Linked DNA regions of Drosophila melanogaster. The protein of the gene in region 1 interacts with the protein of each later gene in a pairwise test. Each region holds a gene or a part of one and is shown in the gene's direction. Other genes may lie near its edges. The genes, in order: in, fy and frtz.

Region 1 (5,527 bases):
CTCTTCCACAATTTTAAACCCGATACTGCTTCCGCCAAAAAATATCAACATTGAGATCGTTTTCGTCTCGAAATCAAGAAGGTTTCTTCTAATGAGCATGATTGATGCCACTGAGTACGCTGAACACAACCGATATCGGTATTTTTTTAAATTTCTCTGGGTGTAGTAATGCAGAGCTTTCACTGATAAGGGGTTCCATAATAATGTTACCGATTCTGGTGGGATTAGGCTAACATCAAAGACCTTCTATAAGCAGTCGATCCGCGTTGCCGGAAGCGTGAAAGTATATGTATATAGTTTCGAGAGCTGTTAACAATGCCCAATCAAACTGAGACTTGGGCAGGGATTTTTATTGGACTTTATTGGATAGGTTTACCGTATTTCTTTGTGCTGTCCCTGAGGGTTCCGTTGGGAAACTGCCACCATATCACCTCGTCCTTGATCAGATCCAGCAGACAACTGTTCCCATCATCCGATTCGTACTTCAACATGAGGGATTTGAGGTCCGTTCTCTCCTTGCTGACCTCTTCGGCCTCTTCGCTGGATGTTGTGGCTGAATCTGGTTCTATTATCAAGCCATCCTGGATCGAAAACTCGGTGTATGCTTCCCTTACGTTTCCAAGGAACAGGCATACTAATACGATCACATCCCATATATATTTTGGACACATATTCACTGAATTGCGCACCTATAGTGCTTGTAATGGGGGATTATAAATAAGATTTGACAGCTGTTTGATTTCACAATCACACAGATAATCGCGTTCTATACAATTTTTAGCCACTCATTCAGTTTCACTGGGTATTCCGAAATCTAAGCCACATTTTGTGATAGTTAACCGCGGCCGACATTTCCCGCAAATCACTTTATTTGCGGCTGGGCGAAGCACACGCCTTGGATTCGCGCAATGGACTGGCTGGAGGACTCAGCTTGCTCCGATGGTCAGCAGAAATAATAGGTAGCTGCGGTACACATGTGCGGCTAATTCTGCCATGATACGGCTTATCAATTTTGGCAATATCTTCCCTTGAATGGCCCGGGACTATCAGCGTATCGCTTTTTCGGTGGCACTGGGCGTCCCGCTTCACGCCCACGCCATGTTCCTTATCGGATAATTATCTGGACGTCGGAGTACGGCTATTAGGCCCGTACTTCAATGGGATCGGTGCTCCGGATCAACCGATATAGCCACGGCTCGCTTTTGGCCAGCACATAGTGAGTTCAGTGAGACACAATTTTCTATACTACTCGATTGTTTGCAGATAGAAAAGTTTTGATTTACGGCGTCCAGTCCGGAGACCGATATGAAAAAAATCACTTGGAAAATCTTAGATTATCAGACCATCGGCGATACGAAAAGGTGGCCACTAAAACACCCGGGTCCACAAATGCCCAATTAATTATATCAATTCCCTTCATATCATGCATACACAGTTTATTGGCCGTAAAATAATTTATTGGGAGATAGGACTTCAGCGGTAGTCTCCTATGACAAATGATCATCGGATACCCATTGAGGAAGCAACATTTTACTAATCTTCCGCTGATTAACACAATCCTTATGATAGCACACCAATTTTGCTTTAAGTTCCACCAAATCTTCAATGCGACTTTGTGCAGAGTCAGCATATCGCAGACGGAGCTCTATTTTTATAAGGATTTTCCATGATTATTATTTATAACTTAATATCACGCTGAAATCAACTGGTTAGCAGTCCAATCGTTAAATGCGAACACTTATAAAAAGAAAAGAAATTGGTTATTGTATTATGGTAACTATACTTGTCTTAACCCACGGTGGGTTTTGAGTTTCCCCAGCTTGAAAGAGAACCAGATCACAAAGGGAGTGGATCGTTTCCCGCTGGAATTTGAGTGGAGTGGTATTGAGCTGGTCGGAGCCAGAGCTCAATTAGAAACTGGTTTTGAGTGCTGAGATCGGATCTCGGCTTTCAGTCGACATTCAGAGCTGAGCTGAGGCGGTATCAACCGGCGGCAGATAGTTGAGTGTGTACCTGGAATAGTAGGCCACTAATAACTATCCGCCCAGTTAACTATCCCCGGTAAACTATGCGCAAATCGCCGGCCAGCCTGCCGTCGGAGGCCTTCTCCAGTTCGAACTCCTCGCTGAGCAACTCGTACAGCGATGGCAGCGACCTGGCCAACTGGGAGGAGTACGTGTCCACAGACGGCAGTCTCTTCTACATGGAGTATGTGCGATGTGAGAAGACTGGCGTCTCGGCAGAGCGGCGGGTGGAGTTCATGCGTCGATCGCTGCGCCTGGGAAAGAAGTCGTCGCGTCGCCAGCCGCACAGCAATAATCAGAATCAGAGTCAGAACCAAAACCAGTCCCACGGCCCGAGCAGGTTGGATAGCCAGACGGAGCCGCAAGAGTTCCGCTTCTCACAGTTCAAGACGGCTGCCCCCGATCCCAAGAAACTGGATCTGGTGATCACAGCCGCTGATCGCTTCCGTTTCGGACGACGATCCACGGCGGTGGAGTCCATACTGGGCTTCCGGGTCCTGCCCTTTCCGGACCAACCAGAATGCCTGATGGTCGATGGGTTCGTTCACGATGTGAGTGCGCTGCAGCACGGCATCAAGCGGGGAGATTGGTTTAGATCCCTGAATGGCATAGAGGTGTACGCCAGCAATGTGGATGAGTTGCTCAAGCAGTTCGTGGAGCCCACTCAGGTGTGCCTAGGCTTCCAGTCGTGCGGTGCGGCCAGTGCAGTTTCGCCCACCGATCCGGGGTATAATCGAAATGTCCGCGAGGAGCAGGTGTGCAAGGTGGAGAACTTTCCCATGTTCACGGAGAAGTTTGAGCAGATGTTGATAACGGAGGGGAACTTCGGTATTCCCGGTAGTTCCGTGGACATAAGAATGCCCTTTGCTATGCTGCTACTCCCACCGGAGTGCTATCAGCATGAACAGCAACAGGATTCCCTCTACTACTTTCCGGAAATCCCCGACAACTTCCTATTCAAGGCCCGTGGGAGTTTCCTCACCCTGCACGCCGTACTCAGTGAACTGCACACCCAGCCGCTGAGTTCAAGGCTGCTGGTGGATCAGGTGCAATACCACGTCAACTACCGCCAACTGAATGGGTTCCTAGTCCTCTTCGCCTACGCCGGAGGACTCTGCTGTGCGGCGGAGTGCAGCCTGCGATCGGATGAGCTAATCGGATACATACGCTTCTCTCTGCCGGGCTTGGTCCTGGAGAGCTTTAATCAGGAGAGAGAGCCGGGGAATAGTTCGAGACTGAAGCTGTTCCTTCGACACTTTTGCGAAATCCAGAGAACCCGGCTCGTAGCCAGATGCCATGGTCATATTCGTTTCGAGGAGCTCCTGGGCCAATCCCGCAGCCTGCCACTGCCAAAGGAAGCGCAGCTGCGCATCTTTGATGCTCTGAGTGAAATGGAGGCCATGGACTATCGCAACTGGAACGACGAGCCACTCACCACCCATCGCGAGTTCTTCATCTACGGCAGTGCGCTGTACTACGATGGCTTCCTGGTGGCCAGCCTGCTGCCACCGGAAGTGAGGGTGAGTGTAGAAGGATTCCTGCGCTGCCGCGGAATCTTCGAGTTGCTCGGAGCTGCTCCGGGAATCAAAGTTCGCGAGATGTACGTGTGGGAGGAGATAGTGTTGCCCAGTGCCACAGGGCGATATTTCCTTACCATCTGCACCAAGAACCACTTGAGTCTGGCCGTGATCTTGAAGATCTTCGATGCTCCAGACATGGCGCCGGATGCGGTGGTGGGTCCATCGCTCTTTTACATCGAGGAGATTCAAGAGACGCTGGACCACCTAGTACAGTGCGGCATTGAATCCCTGGCCATGTTCTGGTCCGTTTCCAATAAGAGACCCGAGGTGCTGGACGCCACTGCCAGCGAGAGTAGAGATCAGGAGAAGGAGCCGAACAACCGACTGGAGTCCTTCCTCAAGCAGAAGCTAACCGTGCTGAGTCCTTCGGTGGAGGAGGAAGCCCAACTGTGCTCGTCCCTGGGTGGGTCTTCCATACATAGTCTGACTCCCAGTGAGGACGAGTCCTGTCGCAGGCGATTGACCCCCATCCATGGTACTGCCGAGGACTCAGACAGCGGTTCCGACTGGGAGAACTTCGCCGTACAGCATCCACTTCACTATGGACTGAATCTCGGGGCCGAGAGCCACAGTCAGAGCCAAATGACAGAGTCCATGTGGAAGGAGATCAACAACGTGGTGCCGGTCAAGATATCCGCTGGCTGGAAGAATTCCGTTCTGCACTACGTCTACATTGACATAGCCAATGGGTCCTTGTTTGCGCCATTTACCGACAGCTCCGAGAACTCCAACTACCTCTCCGAGATTCGTCAGGCGTGTCACATAATCCACGCCGTGCTGCAGAAATCCAAGCACTATCGCAGGCATCTATCGGAATCCTCGAGAGCACAGACGAACTCGAACGGGCACAGTAGCCACACAGTGTCGCTGGTCAAGGAGCACGGCATGATCCTGGAGGTCAGCACGCAACCCAAGTCGGACGGGCAATCCCAATCCTCGACGAGCAGTCGCTTCGTGGTGGTTGGTCGTCTCTTTCAGTCGCCAGCCAAGGAAGTGTACGTGTGTCACCGGTCCGATGTTCCCCAGAACATAGTCGAAATGGCCTTCCGGTTGTCCTTCTTCTCAATGGGATGACATCTTGGAAGGATACTACCAACTTAGATACTGGCTATGCGTAGAATTCTTGCTATAATATAAACACAAATATTTAAAATGTGGTTTTAACTAAACAAATTACTTTTATATAGGCATTCAAACAATTTTTTAAAATTATATTTAAGAATGCATAATTAATCATTTTCAGCAATTCTATTACGAAAGCATTTGATTTAGGGGAAGTGCAATTTTGTATTTTCAAAATTCGAAAAGCGCAAGCTTGCCAAAACTCTAAGAAATTGAAAAATATGTACATTTCCTCTGAAACGCAGCGAATAAATATGTATGTATGAAGGTATTTCAAGAGGAACACAAACATCGTGCGAATGTGTTTCATTCATTCATAGTTCGTACTAGAGAAGCCATCAAAAGTGTACACTATTTTTAGAGTTTGGTGGGAGGGTCCCATTCTAAAAGTAGTTCCACGCACCAGAAGTCAAAAGACACGCCGACCAATAAATCCACGTGAACGAGTGGCTCAAGGTGGTGCTCCCCAAATTGCCAATTTCCCAAGATTCGTCGACAGTTGTGTTTGGGTGTTTCAACAGAAGAGGATTCTTGGTGGATGGATATGATGACAGCTACGTGGATGCTGTGTCTTGTTCTCTGCTCCACGGCGATGGCGACGGAGGAGGAATCGGGCAGTGGACTGTTCAACGTCACCGGGAATCCCTTGGATACAGAAGCTGCTCCAAAACTGCCCAGCGAAGTGCAGAAAGCTGTTTGCACTGTGACTGCGGGGGAGGTGAAGGCATCTGCCGAGGCTGTCACCACAAAAACCCTTAAGGGAGTGTGTGGATCAGGTGGGTGGTCAGTGGTCTCTTGCCC
Region 2 (4,021 bases), on another chromosome or scaffold:
GGCATTCATCGAGTTCTCCAGCACGAAGGAGCATAGTGTAAAGATCTGAGAGAACTCCGAGCACATGGTGTCTTTCAGGTGCTTGGCCTTAGTCTGCGTGATCTGACCCTGCGAAAAGTCGAACACCTCCTCACTAAGGTTCTTCAGGATTACCATGTTGTTCATGCACAGGCTCTCGTTCGTTTTCGACGCACCGACAATGTCACTGATGAATGTCTCCCAGTTGCGTGGCCATTCGCGCTTTAGAATGTGGACCAGAATCATGTTTAGCTTATTCAGATACACTTTGTTCTGCTCCATAACAATGGGATCCGACGAGGTCTTGATGATAAGACTGACCACATACTTCTTGATTCCCTCGCACTGGTTGCGCGGCAGGACCTTCCAGCGCGTTTTGATGACCTCCTCGAGGATTTGCAGAGCATAAAACTTGGTCCGCTGGTTCTGTGAGTACTCCAATATGCTGTCCACCCGCGTCCATGCCTCTGGATGCTCCTTCAGCGTGGTCAGTATGCTCTGGGCTAGACGCAACTGCTCGCCCTGCGCTGTGTACACAACCTCGACGATCTTGTCCAGCAGATTAATGTCCAGCTTCTGGGAGAAGTCGAGCAGCTTGCCCGCCTCGTCCGATGTCAACATTGTCGCCATCGCTTTGTAGTAGAAGCGGCGTTCGCGTCGGCGTCGCTCTGCAGTTGTGTCCGCGTTAATTTTGATAGCTTCTTGGCTTCCTCCTCCGCCGGATGAGCTCGGATCTCACGTTTTTTCCCTTTGGATTTCTTGTTTTTGCTGTTTTTTTTTTCCACTTTATTTATCGAAAGTGCGCGGCGGCTTCTGCTTCAGCTTCTTCTTCTTCGCACTATGATGACGGTGAGGAGCGGCGACTCTCGATCTGGATCGGGATCTGGATCTGGTGCCGGGACTGGACCTGAAGCTGTGGAAATAAGACCGTTGGTTATACATATTGCGTACTTTTACGCCTGTCGACAGGCAACCATATTTCTTTTTTGTTTTCTTGTTTCATTTTTTTGGAACACACAACTACAAGCGCACGCTGTTGCCTGCGCGCGCTACACTTTTTCGCACTCGCACACATACAAGCGCTCGGCACACCACACATACGCACACACTGGCACAGGCGAACGCATCGCCGCCGCAAATGCGACAAGACTGCGGCGGCATTTCCCAAATTTTCTTAGCTTTTCAAAACGCGCCAGCGAGGACGCAGTGTGTAATTAATTAACAATCATGAACATGTAATTCACATATCAAGCTTACCTTTTACCGATTCCAGAAAAGAGCAGCGTGTGAAAACGACGACGACGGACAATGCGAAATGCAATTTGTGAGAACAGTGTGCCCGTATGGTGCTGAACAAACATACGTCCACAGCCCTGGTCTACAGGCATGCACGCAAAGTGATCGATAACGTTGATCGAATAAAATAATCAAATGGCATGGATGAAGATGCTTAGTTTGTTGGCTTACTTACTGCCAGAAACATCGATGTCCCTGATATCGAAAAACATCGATGTTTTAAGCAGCGATGTTTTAAAAAAAAATACAAAAAAATATTATCTGTTTAATTTAATGGAAAAACAAACCAGTATGCATGCATGCATAAATTGACATAAATATATTTGAATTTGATCTGTTCTCCTGAATCAGCTACAAAATACTGCATCTTACTGATTTATTACATTAAAACACTAAAAGTATGCAAGTAATTCAGATAAAAGTTTAAAATAAATCATATTAATTTACTAGTGCATCGCTTATTTTCGATAATTCAAAACGAATCGATTTAATCGATGTAAGCATCATACGTAGCAGGTTCGGCGAAGAAGAAGAGCTGCGATGTCCATCTATTTGTTATGTTTGACAACAAACGGCGGATTGCCAGTGTTTACACGAAAGAAGGGAGAATGCGAAAATGTAAGAGTAACATATTGCCTACCTATTCACTTAGTTAATACCCTTTCTCCATATCCAGCTGCCCTTCTCGACGGTGGCCTCCTTAAACGGCTTTCACATGTTCTTTAAGTCGCTGGGAATCCAACTGGAGGCCACGACGACCAGCAAACAGCAGCCTATCCAGAATCAGGCTCCCGCGGATGCCGAGGAGTGGACTTACATATGGCGCGACCGGGAATCCATCACCCTGATCGTGTGCGGCTGCGGTGTTGGGTCGGAGCAACTGCTTCAGACGCTGGCTGATCTTGTCTTTGGAGCGATAGGCATGTTCATTACCCGGGCCGCAGAAATGGCACATGCAACGCTCCTCGATAGACTGAAGAAGGACGCCAAGAAGTATGTCCCGATTGTTGACGCTATTCTGGAAGCCGCCTGTGCGGGTACACAACTCCTGGGCTACACGGACTGTCTGCTGGCGGCGGAAAACGCCCAGCTGCTGCAGTGTCTAAATGAATTTAGTGGCCACTGTGGCTCGCTCTTTTGCTGCCTGGTTGTGGGACACCGTATCGCTGTGGCCACTGAGGGCTGGTGGGATCTGGACACTCGGGACCGCGAGCTGCTGCTGTTTCTGTTGAATTCGTCGAGCACAATGCAACACGATGTGCCGGTCTATTTGCCCGTGAAAAGTCCCCATATAGCCTACCGCTTTGTCAGTATTCCTGTGGCGTCGAACAGTGCTCTGTGTGTCCTGTGTGGCGCTGAGAATGCCTCGTTCCGAGAGTTGCATGCACATGCCATGAGTGCCTACCGGAATGAAGGCAACCTTTTGGCAGCCGCCGAGCGATGCGTGCCGCGCAGTCTGCCCGAGCATCTGGAGATCGATGGAAATGTGCTGGCCATCATTCTAATTAACCGACACACGCGAAAAAGTCTCTTTACCAGAAATCTAAACCAGTCGGCGAGTGTCAAGCGCATCATTGTGGGCGATCTACAGCGCTTGGACATTCTAAAGAAGTTTTTCGATCAAACTATGGATGCAGTCCACCAATTTGAAACCCAGTCGTCCAGCAATAAAACTACGTTAGTGGACCAATATAGCTGCTCGGACTACCACAAGTGCTATGCCCATATGGATGAGCTGGGCAATGTCATATTCTTGTTGTTTGTGGCAGCGGTGCCCTCGCACGCAATGAGGTGCGATTATAATTATTTACTTTGATGACAAGGTTTTAAAATCAGTATTGTATTTACAGATTCCTTGCGCAACGCATCCATGCTAATATACTCCAGGAGAAGTCAGTATGTTGGTGATACGATATTTCTTTCTAAGCCTAAAGACTGATTTTTGTTACTACTTTTCCATGAAATAATGTTTTTTTTTAAATGACATTATATTTAACGAACAATAGGGTACAACTCCTTTTCTAAAGTTAAGCGTAATTTTTGACAAATCTTATATGTATATGCTACATACTAATATGGCTTTAATGACTTACAATTCCGTCCTTACAAATACTATTTATATATTTTAAATATACAATATGTCCTTATCCTTTTATTACAACATTGTATGGGCGACAATAGACCAGTTGTTTCTTGTTTAGCTCTAAGGGCTTTATCCTTGGATCCAGAAAAAATTGTACTATAGATCCAACTGTAAGTTGTGTGGTTTCTCCTTTTGGAGGAAGAATATTGAAACTACGTCCATTATCGGAAGCCACTAGGGCAATGGTAACACCATACTGGTTTGTAACAGACAAAATTTTAGCCGTGTGAGTGGCTGCATGGTTTTTAAGTTGACGCTGATCCATTCTTACTTTTTTGAGGACTTTACGGAACTCCTCAGCATAGCCTCCTTTAACACAGCGAGGGTTTGCCTTCAAATTGACTCTATTTTGGCTACTTGGCAGATACTGCCTAGGACTTTCACTAGGAACAAGTTGAATAGCTGGAGAAGATTCGGTATAGCTATCCTCGGTCAATCCAGAGCAGTTAGATTTATTCAGCGAGCTTTGACTTAACGATTTCCAAGAAGTTTGGAATGAAGACGTTGGCAATCGTTGAGGAGTAGGTGGATCAGAGTCAATGTTCTCTGACGACCCGTTGCAGG
Region 3 (7,115 bases), on another chromosome or scaffold:
AAGTAGTTGAATTTAATGCGCACTAGTTTCCCTCCGACTTAAAATCGCTTTCACAAACAGCTAGAGCAGCGAAATCAGCGGCATACGGACACCAAGGGATCCCGCGACTTTCTGGAGTTCATGATGGCTGGCGCTGTTTCCAAAACCATCGCCTCCTGCATCGCCTATCCCCACGAAGTGGCACGCACTCGTCTGCGGGAGGAGGGCAACAAATACAACTCCTTCTGGCAGACCCTGCACACTGTTTGGAAGGAGGAGGGCAGAGCAGGACTCTACAGGTGGGTAAAATAGATGAGCAGAGTGAATTTTCAATTTGATACGACATTAAGGCAATCAACTTGTACTTAGGGATTCCCTTGTTCGTGTAGTTCCCTTGAATCCGTCTTGAAATAGAATCGAAGGGAATCCCACTTGCACTCCGACATGTATATAAGAAACATATACATATAAGCTAATGAATTATCATAATGTGCCACCCACGAATTCGTGAAATCTATTTAAATTCTTTTGCGTCGCATATTTTTTGTTTGTTTACCTTAATTTGATTATCACTCTCGAGCGTGCTCACTCGAGGTGTTTTATATATGAGAGCTCTACCTTAGCAAATTCTCCTACTAATTGTAAACTTTACCAACTATTTCCACAGAGGCTTGGCCACGCAGCTGGTGCGACAGATTCCCAACACGGCGATCATGATGGCCACCTATGAGGCGGTCGTCTATGTGCTCACGCGGCGCTTCAACAACAAATCGAACGAGTTCTACGACTTTTAGATGCCTTTCAAAGGACTGGAGAAGGAGTAACCCAATCTGTGCATATGTAGACGCGACTGCTGCAACTTTATGTAATTTTATCCCTCGTTTTTAAACGATCCAAACCAACGAGCGCAAATTCTTAGTTAACTAGCTTCTAAGTCAGATATGAAACGAACTCGATAGACTTAAGACGTTAGACGTTGAACGTTGGCCAACCAATCGAAAAAAAAAAAGAAGCAAACAAAGAAAAAACCAATAATGGGAAACACGCACCAGGATCGAAGTGCACCATCCACACCCTAAACCCACTTGCTGCATGCCACAGAAGGATGTGGTATGCCACCGCAGGGCGAAACGTTATCAAAATTTGAAAAGGCTGCTATTTAGTTAAAGTTACAATATATATTGAGTGTATAAATGTGGTTGATACTTGGATAATATAGTGTACATAGGACTCGATTCGCTCAGAGTGCATTGTAAATAGTTAAAGAGTGAGTTCGCTGGCGTAGTTTTCTTAGTTGTAAGCACAAAATGTTGAATCGGCCGCAGTTGCCAGTAGATGCCGCTAAATATATATATATATAGATATAAAGCCGACCGATCCGATTCGTAAACTGTAAAAGTTTCCGTTAAGTTTCCTCAAATGCGATATACGATTTAGTTATCATTACTCTACTATATTACTTTAACTATATTGATACAATTTTTGCTGTTTATTTAGTCCATTAGTTAGCTAGTTAGTTAGTTATCCCCCCCCCCTCCACGCAAAACGTATTTCACTGATAATGAGCAAAGAACTAAGGAAACCACTGTGAATAATTGATTGCAATCCGATTTGATGGTGAAATCAATAAATACAACAATTTTGTTTAAAAATAACCCACTCGTTTCCCATTTAATATATATGTACATTATCTTATCTTAACAATCGTCTGCAGTCGAACATAGTTCATCTTGGCTAACCAGACTGCCGCCCATAAAAGTGAGATGAGATAAGCCGATTTGGCCAAGATAATACGATTTCGCACAACTAAATTAAAGTGATTTATTGGCTAGCTACTACACTGCGAAAGTAGTGGTAGCTTATTGTAAATATTTTATTTTTCTGAATTTCAAAAATTTAGATCCTGGTTCGGGTACGTGCTAAAAACATAGCATAGCCTGGTTCACAACCTATGTGCTCCATCGAAGATCTCCACCACGTGAGCGATCGCAGTTGTAGTCCATCTATATCACGCCACCACCACGCTCAGCGACGTAACAAAGTGCCGTCTCTAGTAACGTAAGCAGTGTTTCGAGCAACAAGTTTATTTTATTTTCATAAACAAAGTTTGTTTAAAGCGAAAAATCCTGGCCAAAGTGCTAATTCGTTGGCTATTCCGCGAGCAACCTTGATAACGAGTCGCAGAGCAGTCATAGAGCAGCGCAATTAACCCCGATACAAAGCAATCAGTGCAATTGGAGCAGCTTGAAAGGCACACGCCAACAAATCGAGATCGAGCTGATCGAGTCGCGTTGACACCCATCATTCCGCCATGCAAATCGATGCACTGGAGGCCTGAATATGCTGCTCAGCGAGACCCATTTCTGGACCACGTTGCGCGAGGATGTGGTGCGGATCAAGAGCCAGGACCTGGGCGCCTTTCGCTACCTCAGGCAGCGCGACAAGGAGCAGGAGCAGCAGGACCTCGCCTGCCTGGCCAAGCGAGACTATACGGAGCGTCGCAATGGACTGGCCGTGCTGAAGAACTCTGGTCGCAAGTCCACCGGCCGCTTGAAGGACAACCTCAAGAAGCTGGAGGACCTGCTGCGCCAGCACAGGATCATCCACTCCGAGTGGCAGGACGCGGCGCAGGTGCTGCTCCTCTTCTCACACGGCCTGATCGCCCACATCTGCGTGGACATCTACACGGGCGACATTCTGCGCATGGTCTTCGAGAAGTACCTGGTGGGCAAGCTCGCCTCCGAGGTCATTACGGATGGTATGTGCGATTCTCTCCTTTCACCCGCTCCAGCCCGCCCTCCATCGCATTAGAGCCATCCATCAATCAGCTTGGGCATTGCATTTCTGCATGTGCAGCTCGACTGGCAGACATCTCAACTTGCAGCGTTCGAAAATCAGTTAATATGCGTTAACATCACGCAATACATAATGGCTATTTCAGGCGTAATTAAAGGTTCCTCATCATTAGAACGAATTACCAAGACAGCTTGCTAGAAACACATGCATGCCATTTAATTATTCACTAAGCTCTCAGCTATAAAAGCTGTCCTGCATTTAGTTCTTTGTGCTGTTTGCCGCTTGTCATCCAGGGTATCAGTCATTCGATAGAGTGCAGTCCGCATTTGGCCTTGCTCCGCGGAGTGCTGCTTGTGCAGTTATGGAGAAATTTGCATTGGCAACAAGTGCGACTTGATTTGCACTTTCCCACACCAACACAGCCGCACGCACACATGCAGGGCATGCAATTATTGTAATTTTTAATTAATCTGCTGGCTTGTTTTGTTGCCTGTAAATATGCGAACCCCCAACCCCTTTCCCCCATCCACCATCCTCCGGCTTTCCATGTTTTGTTCGAGCCACTCATTCAGCTTTGTCGCTTGTGTCTCTTTTCTCGTCGTGCGCCCGCATCCGTTGTCTCGCCAGCTTTTTTCACCCGTTCCCACATCGTCTTGGCCTACAATACCAACCAGCTGACGGTGGTGCATCTGCAGAGGCCTAATGCTCGCTCCCAGGGACCGGAGAAGATCGCCAATATGGATCCGCGCATCTTCCACGTGATCATACCGGGCGCCACAGAGCGCAAACTATCCCGCCACCTCACAGTTAACGCCAGCTTCGATCTGTTCGTGGTTTGGACGCAGTCCTCGCAGAACGAGGTGTATCCCTGGAGGCCAACGATAAGGGACCAAGATCGTGCCAACATACATGTGTTCAAGATCAAGGGGTAAGTTGCACAGTACAACTCCCACTCCATGGCCCAGTCTAATCGCTTTGCTCAGCTTGCAGCTGGAATCGATTGCCTATTGCTGGTCGGAGAACGATCCGCTGTGCGTGGACTTCCTGCGAAGCAGCGAGAGCCAGATCATCACCCTGGAGCAGAAGGTTTCCCGCAAGGGCGACATAAGCGCAGAAATCTGCTCCTACGAACTGGCCGCCGGCAAGATGCAGCGCACCGCCATTACCTCCATTCCAATGGGCGCCCAGATCTGCTCCTTTGCCTTCAGCCCCGACCAGGAGAAGCTCTTCCTGGGCAGCGTCGATCGCAATATCTGCCTGCACGACCTGGTCCAGCAGTCGACAAAGTACGCCAACCAGATTGAGATCGTGCCCAATCAGTGCGCCTGGCACTGCGACTCCGCCATGCTTTGCGTGGCCAACGAGCGATCGGTGCTGCAGTGCTTCGACCTGGCGCTGGCCACCATTGGCCATCAGCTGGTTAGCGAGAATGTGACGCCGTCCAGCTTGCTGGATCTGTCGCACTACTTCGTGGCCCAGCCAACGCTGCTGAGTGTCGCCTTCAGCCGAAAGCCAGATTTGTCCACTTTTAAGCACACCTACGCCCAGACGGATTGCCTGCTGCTGCTGGTGTACGAACAGGGACCTTTGGCCTGCATGCGCATCTTTGGCGGCACCGGAATGCGCGGCGACATCCACAATTCCGGACTCACTGCGGACGTCATTGCGGACAAGTATCTGCGGCTGCAGCAGCCGGACAGAGCGGTCAATGTCCTGGCCGCCCTCAACTGGGAGACCTACGGAGCCATGTGCCTGATTACGCTGCACAAGATAGCCAACTATGTGTTCTTCGGCGGTGACCAGCGACGACCTCGCATCGAGCTGATGGCCAGAGCGTTGAAGACATTCGCCCACACGCTTTCCGAGGAGACGAAGGACGAGTTCAGCGATCAGGTGTACGATCTGAAGCGCCGCTTCTGCTTCTATCTGCTGCGGTGAGTTGAGCTCGTGTGAACATGCCACTTTTATGCTCAATCCTTTCGTTGCTTGCAGCAAAAACCTCTTCGCTGAGGCCTTCGAAATCGCCCAGGATGTGGCCGACTATGACATCTTCATGGACCTGTACAACCTAACCAAGTGCATCTCAAGCCTGAGTGAGTTCGCCCAGGTGGCCTTCAGTCAGGCAGCTGCCATAATCCACGAGGAAGATCGCGCCAACGGCAATCTCAGCCTGACCTGTGACCTGCGCTCGGAGTCGGCCTGTTCGCTGTCCACCTGCTCGGACATGTTGCGCGGTCAGGGAGCAGGAACTGCCCCCGAAACCGGACTAGGCGCAAGTCAGCCACAAAGCCAGCAGGTCCTGAAGAACTATGTGCCACCGCTGCCCTCGTTCAAGTCGAAGGTATTCAACGCTGAGATGATCAAGATCAACATACCGAAACCGGAACTGAGGCCGCCCTTGCCGAAGGTTTCAATAGCGCCGCCAACATCTTCGCTGGCGAGTCTAACCCTGAAGTCCAACAGTAGTCTGCAGCAGGCGCCCGCAAAGAGTCTGCATCCAAATGGTTCGTGTGAAGAAAATTCCCTTCATAACTTAAATAATTTATCCATTATTTCAGGCAATTTGTGGTCCCAGGACGTGCCGGATCAGACGGTGGGTCTGCCTATGGCTAGTAGTCCACTTCCTCGTCTTCCGCCTTCAAACATTCCAGATCAGAGCGCCCAGCTGGGTCAGTTCAGCACGATGCCAGCTTCGCCTCCGCCGACAGGGTCCTATCAGCCCAAGTTTTATCAACATCCGCTTGTCTCTGGCAATATTCCCGCCATGCTGCCATCGCTCACCAGCGAGGACTACCAGAAGCGCCTGCTGCAAAAGAAACCCACCGCATCCATATTGTCCAACCCGGCGAATCCAGCACCCACCAACGGAGAAGCACCCGCCACGCCCGCAAAGTCACAAACGGCCGAAAAGAACAAAGTCAAGTTCTCGGATACAATTCAAGTGGCGGTGGTGCCAGTGAGTTAACAAATCAATCGATGATGTGACAGTTTACTAATGCTCTTACTCGAACAGGAAATTCCTCGCAAGGAAAAGCCAATGCCACCCAAGAGAAATGGTTACTCCAGGCCCGCTGCGCGACATCTGACAAATCCTAAAAAGGAGCTCGCAGACAGCCTGCCGCTCTGTCATCCGAACGACGAGTATCTAAAGGATTTCAACCCCATTACGACCAGTGGGTATTTGTTGAGTTCACCAATAACCTTGCCCCATTGACCGTGTCATTTCTTCGCAGATGTGACTAAGCCGCCCATCCGACGACGCGAGGAAGAACCCAAGAGCAGCAGCAAGGGCGGCAACTCCTCCTCCTCCTCGTCGTCCATCAAGGTGGTCCACTTCGGCGTGGTCTAATAATTCATAGTGCAATTCCCAGGCGTACACCACACAACGGTTAAGCGCTGCGTCTTCCAATCGTTTGTAACTATTGTAGTAGGCTGCTCCTTCTACCCTCTTCCTTTACTCTTAGTCATACATACCTAATTATACATAGCCAATCTAGTCATAAGCTTATACACTCATACACCCATCCTTAACATACAAATATTATCGAGAAACTTATCGACTAATCGACTCGCCACTCTGCAGAGAGCGCGGCAGTCAGTCGCTGTTGAACCAAGCTAAAGGACAGATCAAAAATAAAAGAGACACGTGAAATTGTATTAGAATATTAACTTCTGTAAACGGCGGCTAAACTATTGCCGTCCCAGTTAGTGCAAAGCTTTAAATAGGAAAGTTTTACTCATAGGTTCTCTATACTCTTTACACAGGTTACTCATTAAAGCTAAGCATTAAATGTTTGCCAAATCGGAGGCGCCGCCTACTTCTTCCTGGTGGTGGTGGGTCCGCCCATGCGCTCCAGCTCGTCCTTCAGGTCGAGCAGCTCCTTGTCGGGCACGTAGCGCCGCTCCTCGCAGTCGTCGGTGTACTCCTGCACCTGCAAGCTCACACCCTCGGGCAGCGCCGCCTGGGCCAGGCGCAAGAACTGCGGATAGACTGGCGCATCCACATTGTTCAGCTGCAGGTTGCGCTCGTAGGTGGTCAGCTTGTACTCCGATTCGATGACCGTGGAGTTGGGCCGCAGTCGCTGCACCGTGGTCTTTTGCGGAGGGAGGGCGTAGCAGTCGGAGACGTCCAAGTCCAGGTACTCGGCCAATCCGTGCAGAAACCTCTGGTAGCTCTCCAGCTGCGGGTAGTCGTAGCCCTTGATCTGCACATTCAGGCTCTCGTACTGCGGGAATTTCGGCTTGAGGGACTGCAAACGGAGAACAATGGTTACTGACCACCAAAATAATTGCTCATCTAGTCTGATCTGATTGAAATCTGTCTACAAGATTATGCTACT

What was found.
Region 2: the proteins of in (region 1) and fy interact in binary tests that used the Drosophila melanogaster proteins (3 or more experiments, as listed by UniProt).
Region 3: the proteins of in (region 1) and frtz interact in binary tests that used the Drosophila melanogaster proteins (3 or more experiments, as listed by UniProt).

Annotation. Positions count from the first base shown.
Region 1 is NT_037436.4:20,365,248-20,370,774, forward strand, and holds in (inturned), read left to right. Parts: upstream 1-1,950; 5' UTR 1,951-2,068; coding exon 2,069-4,678; 3' UTR 4,679-5,012; downstream 5,013-5,527. Other genes in the region: Toll-9, read right to left, coding at 377-671; CG13247 (uncharacterized protein), read left to right, coding at 5,265-5,502. UniProt on the Drosophila melanogaster protein: Plays a role in the definition of cell polarity via the planar cell polarity (PCP) cascade. Acts downstream of fuz and accumulates asymmetrically in wing cells to regulate planar polarity in the wing. Probably acts by regulating ciliogenesis.
Region 2 is NT_033779.5:8,400,915-8,404,935, reverse strand, and holds fy (fuzzy), read left to right. Parts: upstream 1-1,655; 5' UTR 1,656-1,854; coding exon 1,855-1,932; intron 1,933-1,990; coding exon 1,991-3,105; intron 3,106-3,164; coding exon 3,165-3,222; 3' UTR 3,223-3,458; downstream 3,459-4,021. Other genes in the region: emb (embargoed), read right to left, coding at 1-648; CG31898 (uncharacterized protein), read right to left, coding at 3,459-4,021. UniProt on the Drosophila melanogaster protein: Plays a role in the organization of cell polarity via a planar cell polarity (PCP) cascade. Involved in the development of the hairs on the wings.
Region 3 is NT_033779.5:1,710,761-1,717,875, reverse strand, and holds frtz (fritz), read left to right. Parts: upstream 1-2,024; 5' UTR 2,025-2,319; coding exon 2,320-2,737; intron 2,738-3,402; coding exon 3,403-3,703; intron 3,704-3,758; coding exon 3,759-4,709; intron 4,710-4,767; coding exon 4,768-5,279; intron 5,280-5,333; coding exon 5,334-5,731; intron 5,732-5,788; coding exon 5,789-5,948; intron 5,949-6,008; coding exon 6,009-6,124; 3' UTR 6,125-6,574; downstream 6,575-7,115. Other genes in the region: Rim2 (replication in mitochondria 2), read left to right, coding at 61-278, 647-773; mRpL48 (mitochondrial ribosomal protein L48), read right to left, coding at 6,591-7,025. UniProt on the Drosophila melanogaster protein: Probable effector of the planar cell polarity signaling pathway which regulates the septin cytoskeleton in both ciliogenesis and collective cell movements. Functions cell autonomously to regulate wing cell hair polarity and number.